Tribolium castaneum: one gene and its partners. The protein of the gene in region 2 binds, or shares a complex with, the protein of the main gene of each other region. Links are inferred from orthologs where the notes say so. Each region holds a gene or a part of one and is shown on either strand. Other genes may lie near its edges.

What was found.
Region 1: basement membrane-specific heparan sulfate proteoglycan core protein (region 2) and Ilk share a complex: the UniProt entries of both Caenorhabditis elegans proteins name them as parts of the integrin containing attachment complex. The link is inferred for Tribolium castaneum from reciprocal best matches to the Caenorhabditis elegans genes unc-52 and pat-4.
Region 3: basement membrane-specific heparan sulfate proteoglycan core protein (region 2) and unc-112-related protein share a complex: the UniProt entries of both Caenorhabditis elegans proteins name them as parts of the integrin containing attachment complex. The link is inferred for Tribolium castaneum from reciprocal best matches to the Caenorhabditis elegans genes unc-52 and unc-112.

The regions. Positions count from the first base shown.
Region 1 is NC_087394.1:5,466,096-5,470,290, reverse strand, and holds the start of Ilk (integrin-linked protein kinase), read right to left. Parts: upstream 2,859-4,195; 5' UTR 2,606-2,858; coding exon 2,517-2,605; coding exon of another isoform or gene 2,513-2,516; exon of another isoform or gene 2,499-2,512; intron 2,393-2,498; coding exon 2,227-2,392; intron 1-2,226. Other genes in the region: trc (serine/threonine-protein kinase tricornered), read right to left, coding at 4,156-4,195. UniProt on the Caenorhabditis elegans protein: Probable pseudokinase that acts as an adapter protein. Component of an integrin containing attachment complex, which is required for muscle development and maintenance.
Region 2 is NC_087398.1:9,110,890-9,114,545, reverse strand, and holds part of basement membrane-specific heparan sulfate proteoglycan core protein, read left to right. Parts: intron 1-135; coding exon 136-287; intron 288-339; coding exon 340-749; intron 750-797; coding exon 798-1,475; intron 1,476-1,530; coding exon 1,531-1,718; intron 1,719-2,182; coding exon 2,183-2,200; intron 2,201-2,284; coding exon 2,285-2,458; intron 2,459-2,511; coding exon 2,512-2,700; intron 2,701-3,656. UniProt on the Caenorhabditis elegans protein: Component of an integrin containing attachment complex, which is required for muscle development and maintenance. Probable structural role in myofilament assembly and/or attachment of the myofilament lattice to the cell membrane.
Region 3 is NC_087396.1:10,393,708-10,397,363, forward strand, and holds part of unc-112-related protein, read left to right. Parts: intron 1-1,635; coding exon 1,636-1,835; intron 1,836-1,885; coding exon 1,886-2,096; intron 2,097-2,393; coding exon 2,394-2,584; intron 2,585-3,656. UniProt on the Caenorhabditis elegans protein: Component of an integrin containing attachment complex, which is required for muscle development and maintenance. Probable regulator of cell-extracellular matrix adhesion. Required during initial muscle assembly to form dense bodies and M-lines.

The DNA of each region.
Region 1 (4,195 bases), on a different chromosome or scaffold from region 2:
AAAATCCTTTAAATTACCATTTATTTCACTCCTAATGTAAAAAAATTTGTTCATTGTTTAGTGAAAAAAATGCGCTCCAAAAGATAAAAACAAAAAACGTCACTCGCAGTACGAAAGAAATAGACCGAACTAGTAAAAAAAATTGTCAAATACAATTTAAGAAAATTTCAAGTATGTTTATAAACATATTTTTTTTAAAGTATGTCCATGACGAAAATAAATTTGATTCCAAGTTAAACAAAGTCATGGGAAAACAAAAAAAATAGTAGTTTTGAAATATAGCTTGACTTGACTAGTAATAGATATACAAATAGCTAAATGTTTATGATTTGGAGTGGAATTCCTGATTAAAGTACACTATTTTCTGTATATTATGGTGCATAGAATGAAATAAACAATTTAAACAATAGATGCAAATTGTTTCTTTAAAACATTCTTTGTAAAAAAACTAATGTTGATTTCATCGTAAATTGCTGTTTTTTTAAGAGGATTACCACTACACATTGGCTTTTAAACAAAAAATGCTAGGTTTCAAGTATTACATAAAATTAATTTTCCAATTTTTTTTTAAGATATTATTGTGCCTGAGTCGGTAGTCGACTATTTTTTCCGACCTTGTTTATATCTTGTTAACAGTATTTTAGGAAAAGTGCTGAGTATTTCAATCTACACGAGAATTTTCAGATAATTAAAATTAAAATAAAAAAAAACAAATAAAAATAAATAGCTCCCAACATTTGTCCATTATCAGACTAGATTTATTAAATGGACAATTGGCGTTTTATTCAAAAAGTTGACAAAATCGATCAACATAATAAACATTTTTAAAATGACGAATTATGAGAAGTTCAGAAAAATGTAATTAAATTATTTTATTAAAAATAAAAAAATAGAACTGGAACAGCTGATTTCAACATTTAATTTATTATAATCGAAAAATTTTTTCATCACTTTTGTTGATTATGATCATAAGTAAGTACATATCTAGAATAACTCATTTAAAATTAAGAGAGACGAAGCTTCATAATTTTTAATCAAAAGTTTTCGGATAATAATAAAATGATTTATTTTAGAGCCAAAAACACTTTCGTAAAAAACATTTATTGTCACTTCCACGTAGTGTTTTTGTTTTTTATAATTTTCTAAAAATCCCAAAATTTCTACAATCCGAATTTAAATGATTTTTCTGCTACAAGTTTTTCAAGAAAACAAGTTAACATCTATAAAATCGATACCATTTATTATTAAATAATAATATTATTATTATTATTATTAAATAATTAATGAGTTGTAAAACGATGTACTTATCAGTAATTACATATTTTAATTTATTTATTATTTTTATTATTGTTTTATGAATTCAGTATCAAAGATTGTATTTATATGGAGAGGTAGTAAAAGGCATTTTTTATTGAGCGACAACTGTAAATTCTAATTTAGTATCATTGAGAAAAATTATTAGGACCTTCAATAACACATTAAACATTACTATAAAACAAACAACGCTACTTAAAACTAAAAATCAGTAATTGCAAAATAACTTTACACAACTTACTAATTTATCTTTTTATTTCTTTATTTTTTTGGTAGGTACAATTGATTAAAAAATAATCACACATAAATCAAAAAATTGATGACTTGTTTATTTAATAGGAATAGAAGGTTTCTGTTATTTTATTTTGCATGTTATTTGAAGGTTTAAGTACTTTCAGTAAAAAAAATACAAATTTTTTTAACCAGTTTATTGTTAACATAAGATAACTATTAAATAAATTGCGAGCTAATAATAGTTTAATTTAGAAGAAACAACAAAAAAATTAAAGTATTTTGTTTATTTTTTGCAAGCTCAACTTCAGCAAATGATTGTTCTTATTTTTTGCCAATAATTTTTTCACTTTTTCCTTGGTTTCCTTCTCATTCTGAGTTGTTAGATACATAAAAAAATACTGCTTTCTAATGAGAAACGTGTACTCGGATTACGTCTCAATTTGTTGTACTTTTATAGTGTATTCGCTTGAAAAAAAGTAGGTTAAAACCCACATTCTATAAAAGCACATAAAAAAAAATTCCTAAAAATGGTTGAGGAATAATTTTTAATTTTCCTAACCGTGACGATGATAATTTTTTCCAACTCTTTTTAGTAAAAAGTCAAACGATAAAGTGACAACCTTGTAAGTCTTCAGACTTATTATTACTCTTATATTAATAAATTAATAAAATACCAACCATAAGCACAATCTCCCTGTGCCCATGTGCAGCCGCCAGATGCAAGGGCGTATCGTCCCCCCGATTGGTGGCATTGACCCTCGCCCCCCTGAGCAAGAGCATCTCCACAATCTTCGTGTGCCCCCTTTTCGCCGCCCAGTGCAGCGGACTGAACCCATGGTCATCCCTAAGACAATCACCAATCAGTAAAAACCAAACAAACCCACACACACCCAATTATTACACAACACGGCCACACCACTGACCAAATTAGGCAATGCCATTAAACTAACCTCAAAGACACAACTCACCCCTGGTTCATGTCGTGCTCGGTGTCATCGAGCCAAACCCGCACCTGGAGGGCATTCCCGTCCCTGCACCACTGGAAAATATCCTCCATTTCGGCAATTTGCCCAAAAGTGGGGCACTTGTACCAGCAAATGGGCGTTCACTTGGGTGGTGTTTAAAACGCGAGAATTGGTTTTTATTTATAATGAGTGCGTTCAGTCGCTTATCCGGAAGCTATTTACCGCATTACTTTGATAAGATAAGGATTTTTTTGGTAATTAGGTGAGGAAAACTAAACACTTTTTTACACAACAGACGGCCATATTTGGACGTGTTGCCAACCGTGCCGCTTGAAATTCCCCAAACGGATAAAAAAGTTGATTTTTTAATTGTTTTAAAGGATTTTAAATCAAACGTAACGTCCTAAAAACTGTCCCCCGCTCCGTTAGGTAACAATTAGTTAGATTGGGCCCCCAAATTAATTAAAAATTTACCATAAAAGGAATGGGAAGTTACCAAAGGTTGGCAACACGCCGGCGGGAGTTCCAAACACGGGTTAAAGCACATAGTTTAATAAACTTTGTTATACACATTTTTGGAAGTAAATATATTATGTACAAGTCCTGTTAGCGAGACCAATGTAATAAATAACAAATCAGACAAATAATCTAGCTAATTTGCACCAGTTAAACGAATTTGAAAAAAAAGGTGCATAGAGAGCTACAAGCTTAACATTAATACTTTCTATAAAATTTCCAAGTCTACCAACTGCCTCACATACACACCAGACTGTTTAACAGCCAAAAAACTGCTCGATATGTTTGCAAAACTACACATACACTTCCACAAAATCTAATTGGTTAGTGAAAAACAATTGTTCATATGTGCTTCTTTGGAACAAAACAACTAATAAAATGATCAGAGTGGCCATGAACCTTGAAACACAGTTGGCGGTACTGCCTGTCAAACGTCGCAGGTCACTCTAAACGAAAATTACTAAACCCGCCTACTAGACTACGCTCGTTCGTCTTGAAATAAAAAATTGCAAAAATATGATCTCACTGACAGAATCATGAAGGTGTAAAAAGTGTAATTAGTTCATGTCCTTCACGAGTTATACAAAATAGTTCTTGACGCGCGATCAAGAAATACATTGTCTATAAATAAAAAAACAAGTAAATAATAAACGTATCACTTTGTAACAATAAACAAAAAATAACATATACACAAAAATCTTCTGTTGTATTTAAAATGATAGGGAAAAAATCATTAGGTACAAAAATATCCCTCGGACCGCCCGCCCTCGAAGCAACACATCATCACATAAATAATTGGCAGTAGTTTCGCAACAATTTTGTACTAACAATTCGTCATTTTCGTAATATTTACAATAACACAAGTTAACGAGATATCAGTGTAAATACAACAAAAGATACGTAGCTTCTCACAGCTCAAAGCAAACAGTGTGAAAACTGCTTCAGACCTATAATACACAAAGTTACTTATTTTTAGAAAATAACTACGGGATAGGTACAGTTATTGAAAAGACGAGAAAATCATAATCGAAGCACTCTGGTGTGATTTTTCACGATATTTCCTAAAAATAAGTGCTCGTTATAGCGCGATTAACTGCCGATTTGTTGGCGCACATAAAAGTGCGGTTTATTTTTTTGTTGGGGTCCCTCTTTGCGTCAGACCTTCG
Region 2 (3,656 bases):
TATAAGTTTAGATGGGATGTTATTAAAGAATCTTTTCAAAATTTAATAATAGTATGTTTTTCTTTAATTTTTATGTAGAAGTGTATTTTAAATTCCTTTTTTCCAAAAATTCTAACTACATTTTACATTTTCAAGCATCCCAACTGGAACCACCAAGAGTGGTAATAACCCCACCGTTTGTGGATGTCCAAGAAGGTCAGACGGTTCAAATCCAGTGCGCAGCCACTGGTACACCTGAACCAATCTTACGCTTGATAAGACTCGACGGTCAACAACTAAATCCAGCAGTAAGTTTATAAATAAACCGCACTGACACAATCTAACAACCTAACAAAATAGCACTACTTCCAAAACGGCCTCTTCCGTATACCTCAAGCACACAAATCTGACGAAGGACCTTATCAGTGCATCGCTACAAATGCAGCCGGTACTCACACATCGAACGTAGACATATACGTGCGAGAAAACACCGGTGGTCGACCAGTAACTGTGGAAATATCACCCCCGTATTACGAAGGCTCAAGTGGAGAAACTTTCTCGCTGAGATGCCAAGCCGATAGAGCAATTGATATCAAATGGACGAGACAAAACGGTCGCCCCTTACCTTACAGCTTTATAGTGAATCGAGACGTTTTAACAGCCACTTCTCCAAGAGCTGAAGATTCGGGAGTTTATGTTTGCACGGCCACTTCGGCCACCGGATACACCGCCACCGGCACCGCCGACGTTACGATCTACGAATCGTCTGGGTACGATAAATAATAATATTTTTTTCAAAAATAAATTGTGTCGTTCAGCACGTCTCCACCAAGCGCCAAAGTCAGCCCCGAACGTATCACAATCTCGCAAGGTTCCTCCACGGAGCTCCGCTGCGACGCCACCGGCTCCCCAACTCCAACCATCAAATGGACAAGAGTTGGTTCCGAGCTTCCGCCACATATCACGCAATCCGGTTCGGTTCTCTACATTCGAAACGCCCAAGTTTCAGATAGAGGGGTTTACGTTTGTGTTTCCTCTAACAACCTCGGTCTCGCGCAAGCTTCCTCTATCGTTGAAGTGAACCGTCTCGAAATCCCGATCCTGTCAGTCCACCCACAAGCCTCGCAAACGGTCACAGCCGGCAATAGTGCAATTCTGGCGTGTCGTGTCGATGCGGGCATTCCCGCTCCCACCGTAGTCTGGACGAGGGCAGACGGTCGGCCTTTAAGCCCCAACATCGAAACAATGTCTCACGGTACTTTACGATTCACACAAATAACTGAAAACGAAGGCGGTGAGTATATCTGTACTGCTGAGAACGAAGCTGGGAGAGCGTCAGTGACCGCAAACATCGAAGTTCAAGTTGCTCCAGAGGTTTGGACGGTGCCGGACGAAGATGTGATTATGAGGAGACGAGATGAGTTTGTAAGACTTGAGTGTCATGCTAGGGGAAGTCCCCCACCGTCATTGCAGTGGAGGAGGTTATCAGAACCATAGTAAGGATCATGTTTGGTTTGTGCTACTTTGGCTAATTGTGATGTGATGTTGCAGCGGAGCTTCCGGACGTTCCGGGCTTCCAGCGGTGGCTGCGCCAAGAAATGTAGCGATACTTGAAATTGCGAGGTTTTCCGCAAGGGACCAAGACTTGTACATATGCGAAGCACGGAACCAAGCAGGAGTTGCAGAAAAGCGAGTGCAACTCGCGATTCATAGCGTTCCTAGTCGCGGTGATATTGTGGGTGAGTTTTCACAATTTAAGAAATCAAACAAGTATTGTAACTTCACGAATAACAGTGGACCAAGAAAAAGTAGTTTAGAATAATCCATTCACTTTACGTCCCATACGATAAAAAGTAGAATTCACAAGAAATATTGTGTAGCACATCATTTCTTTTCTTTGTTTCTTAGTCATTAACTACCGAAAAGTAATTTTTTACATGTTTTCTCCAAACTTTTCTGGACCTCGTTTAAAAATCGAATAGGAAATAAACAAAATAATTTCCAGAGTTTTGGGTCTTCTTTGCATATTTCGATCAACATTCCGACTTTTTATCGTACGGTTTAGAGTAACAGAGTAGAGTAATCGCGGTGTTGGTATTACTTGCGCTCAAATTTGTACTAGTTTTATTGCAATATTGTAGAATAATTATTTTCATGCTTTTGTTTTTGTTTCATCTTGCTTGCTACTAACGGGGGGCCGTAGGTAACCGATCACGTGGAGGTAAGTAAATAATAATCAATTAACACGACGGGAAATTTAAGTTATTTTTTAATCAACTCGTAATTTTAATTTTATGTTGACTAGGCGAAGATGCAACGGGTAACGAAGTTACTCCGCCTGAAGGGGGTTACAGAACCAACGAACGGCGCCCGACGTATTTACCACCTAGACAACGTCCATCCCACTCTTACGATGAAAAATTCACGGCTCCTGTGGGAACTAGGGCAGAGTTGCGATGTCAAATCAACAACAATTATGGTAAAAGTGTGGCATGTGCGCAAAAACTGTGCGCTAATAATTTTGATTTCCAGATTCTGAACCAATTTATGTAAACTGGGCTCGAACGGATAATTCTTCGTTACCGAACGATGCATTTATCAGAAGTGGGACTCTTTACATCGACAATGTCCAGCCCTCCGCCGGCGGTGAATACCGCTGCTTGGGAACAACTTCCTCAGGGCAAGTGGTCTTCTCGGTTATCGCCCATCTGGAAGTTATCTGTAAGTCGGTCATCATGCTTTCGTAATTGTTTGGCTTCTTACAAGACTTTATTTTCTCTTATCTATCGGTAGTTTGTGTAATTATTGTTTCTTTGTTACATTCAGCCGAGGAAGACATATGTGCAATTCTAGGTACTGTGTTTTCACCGGTGTTTTATCCGCTTTCATAGAGAAAGTCTTAGTGGAGCAGAAACAATGTTTAATATCTAGCACAAAAACTTTGAAACAACCAGCTATATTACAACGTGCTGGTAACGCTAAGAAATGAATTGCGCACTTGGCTGCAAAGATGTCTTAAGCAGTGACAAAATAATAATTTGATATAGTACTACAAAGCTTTATTTTTTATTTATTTGTACCGGACATTTACTGAAATATTTGGATGAAGAAAACAATTCACTAATGTCGACAAATCATGTTCCTATTTAGTTCGTAAAAATAACCACATTTGTTCGAATAGAGTTTATTTTTATTAGATTCACTTACAATTTAAAGTAAGCATTCATATTAAATGATGAATGAGTCCAAAAATTCAAAGTGATTGGTTTCTTACTTAATTTTAATGGCCGACCTTAAATGGACCAATCATATCCAAAAATATAATTTTTCAATGAATCAAAGAAAATCTAAAGTGATTGGTTTCTAAGTTAATTTTAATGGCCGACATTAAATGGACCAATCATGTCCAAAAATATAATTTTCAATGAAACAAAAATTCAAAACGTGATTGGTTTTCGCTGTAATTTTAATGGCCGACCTCAAACGGCCCAATCAGAATGCTTACAAATTTTACAACAATCATTACGTGGCTTACGTTAATTCATAAAATGATGAGTCTGTCTTTGTTTTTGTTGCATCTCACATCTCCAGTTTTTCCTTTGAATTCTGCCCCCCTTGTAATGGTGGACGATCTGCTAGATAAAAAAACACCAAAATTGAGACCTGAGAGGAAATAA
Region 3 (3,656 bases), on a different chromosome or scaffold from region 2:
CATCATTTAATAGAAGATTTACTTTTAATTTGTAACACGTGTCACAATATAATAAATTAATAATAAATACTAGTAGAAAAAAATAAAAAAATATTTAGATTATTTTAGGTAAAAAAGAGCTACATGATAAAAAAAACAATTATTAAAAACTTTTATTTACAAATTTAAGCAATGAAATAGTTTTCATAGGTAGTTAAGTTTTTTTTTGAAATTAACTACTATTTAGATTACGCAATTCTTAATGAATAATTGTTATTGTAACGTTACTTTGAAATATGGGGTGTGATACATATTGCAATTAGAAGTTAATTATAATTACACATCAAATGGTACACAAAAAATACAGGGTACCATCTAAAAAAAAGTTCACAGTCATTTTTGACATATGTCATCCTAAACCGAAATTGATTTTGAATGAAATTCAAAAACAATTTCCCAAACCATAATTTGTCCTAGTTTTAGACGTATGTCAAAAAAAGGTTTAAACAGAGTTTTTTCAAATGGAATGACTGTTTTTTTCATTGGGGATCTAAAGACCATCAATTTTTTCTAGTTTTTGAAATAATCGCGAAAAATGGATTTCAGTTCATTATTTTCATTTCAATCGAGTAAATTTTCGAAAAATTTGTGCTACTAATTAATGGAAATGTTCAATTTGTCCACCATTTTCATTAATAATAATAATAATATTTTCCGGCTTATTTGATAATGAAGCAGATAAAAACTAAACAAGATGTTAAAGTTTGACAATTGTTGACCATTACGCAAGGCGTACTTGATTAATGATGAAAATTACGAAGTACAGCTAGTTTGTTTCTTGTGATTTTTTCAAAAACTGTGAACGACGTATTGATAAAAGCTTCCATAAATGTCGATGTTCTTTCTATGGCTATTTGAAATTTTTCATCTTAAAAAAATCATACTAGCATTGAAATTTGACATTTGACAATTTTAAAAATTCCAGAAACGTTCAAAAGCTGTAATGTTTTGTATAAACTCCTGCAAAAATTTTTTTTACAATAAATTGATATATCGTATCAAAAACTACGGCCACTTTGGGTTGTATAAAAAATTTCACAGCTGTAGTAGTTGTTTCAAAACTTTAAAAACGCCAACGTCGCATTTTCTCTCAAAATTAGTTGTTATAAATTATTCATGCACTTCAAAAAAAATAACAGCTAATTTAATTTGTACTTTCAATGAGAGATCTTAATCATTAATAACTATTTTACAATTTCATAAATCTCAGTTAAAAAAATTATTTGGTAAAATGCGATATTGGCGTTTTTATACTTTTGAAACAGCTAATAGCTACATTAGAAGTTAAAAAGTTTCTATTATCTGTTAACTATAGGAACAACTATCATTTTTCACAATTGGTTTTCTCTTTTAATTTGTGATCTATTTGATCCGAAAAAATTTAAGTGCGCTGTTGTCATTTTTGTTAAAATAATTTTTTAATGTAATTTTTGCCAAGGAACAATTTCTGAAATATTTTAGGAGGAAAAAAATAAAAACCGTTTCAGTTTACGAAGGTGCAATAAAACAGATTCGCTTTCAAATGGTGTATGTGTATATTTTTGTTGAGATAATTTTATCTCTGTGTTTATTTACTTCTTTTTTTTTTGGTTTCAGACAGGATCGTGGGGTCGTCAGGTGTACAATTCGGAGACTAACGGTTATTCCCCCAATTTGACGACAAGTATCAGTTCGGAGCAATTGAATGGCAGTTACGACAGTTTTCTTGCCCAAACTCCACCTCCGCCGAGTCCTGAGGCTCGGAAACATATGATTAGGCCGAAATCGCTTGTAGAAAAAGCGAGAATGAATGTGGCGTGAGTTTATTCTCGTTACGTTGCTATAGAAGCCAAACTGTCTTTTTTAGTTGGTTAGATTCGTCTTTGTCAATTATGGAACAAGGAGTCAGAGAATACGATACGTTATGTTTGAGGTTTAAATTTTACGTGTTTTATGACCTAAACCCCAAATACGATGCGATTCGAATCAATCAGATTTATGAACAAGCGAGGTGGCAATTGTTAAATGAAGAGATTGATTGTACGGAAGAAGAAATGTTAATGTTTGCCGCCTTACAGGTGAGAAACATTGCACAGCAGTTGAATTTTTTATTTAACAAGCACAACAATAGAAATCAATACTTTAGATAAAAATTTCGTCCTTGTGGTTTTCTTTGGCGAAGCAATCTTTTGCCGGTATCTGAAAACCTTATAAACATATTCTGTCTTTTAATTTATTTTGTCCGTTGTTTCACCCCATAAAAAACATATTACGTGAGTGTTTTAATCAATTACTAAATTTTGTGTAGGTAAATGATTATATCTCACGACATTATTATTGTAATTTAGTGCGTTATGTGGTAATATTTTTTTTAGTTGCAAGTTAATTTACAAGCTAAACAACCCCAACCTCATTTGGATAATGGCAATGTGTCTTCCCCTGTTGAAGACGACATCGACGCGGCCTTAACCGACCTTCAAACAACTCTCGAGGGATCAACAATAAATTCCTACGCCAACGACATCACACAAGTGCCTGAATTATGCGACGAATTACGGTTTTTAAAGTGAGTATAAAAAACAGCTCAATTGGAAGAGATGAGTCCATGTTCAGAAACATTTAATTTAAACTTTAATCCTTTCTTATCGACTAAACTTCAAGTTTTTATGATTTTGAAAATGCCAATTTATGTGAAGATATTGTTCAGCCTATTTTTTTACGAATTTTTTGAAAGTAATTATGTTCTGGGGCAAGTAAAGTGCTAAAACGTTTGAAAAAGGAAAAATACTTTCGTTTCGTAATTAATTTAGATTTAACAGAAACAGGTTCAGGAGTTGGAAAAAGTCATTTTTAGTTAACTTAGATATTCCGTCATTCGGCTTACTTACGCGAAAACGAAGTTTTTAGCAAGATAGAAGTGTTTAAGCTCTCGAAAAAAATTGATAATTTTTTGGCTTATTTTTGACCATATGCCTCAAAATAATTACGTTTCTAGCCAAGTAGTTTACTAAAATATTTAAAAAATGAAAAATAATGTCTTCTGTTAACTAATTAAGAAATTTATCATTCCGTTTTAACAGAATCTCACAAAACAATAATTTTTTACAATGGCCTACATTGGTGATTAATGCTTATTTAGTTTGGAATATTTTAGACAAAATGCATTGCGTTTCTTAGCCAAATAATATGTCTAAAGTGTTCAAACATGGAGTAATAATTAATAATTTTTATTTTGTTTATGGATTTTTCAATATGGTTTATGAAAAACTTGCGAAAAAAACCTTAAGTTATTACGCTAAACACATTGGTAATTTTTCGGCGTATTTATTTTGTCAAAATTCCATAAACTATTGCATTTCTGGTAATAAAATTTCGCGAAGAAAACAAAACTTTGGTCCTAAAAACATGTTTAAATGCTTGAAAAAGTCTAATATAAAACCAATGTTCACCGAAATTGAGATTTTTCCCATTCTAAAACTAAGTTTATCTCAACAAATGCTAAAATGACACCGTTTTAGAACCAAATTGGTGAATTTTTGATTTATTTTTGACGAATTTCCCCGAAACAACTGGCGTTTCAGGCCAAATAATGTGTTCAAACGTTTGAAAAATAAAAAATTTCATTTTTAACTAATAAA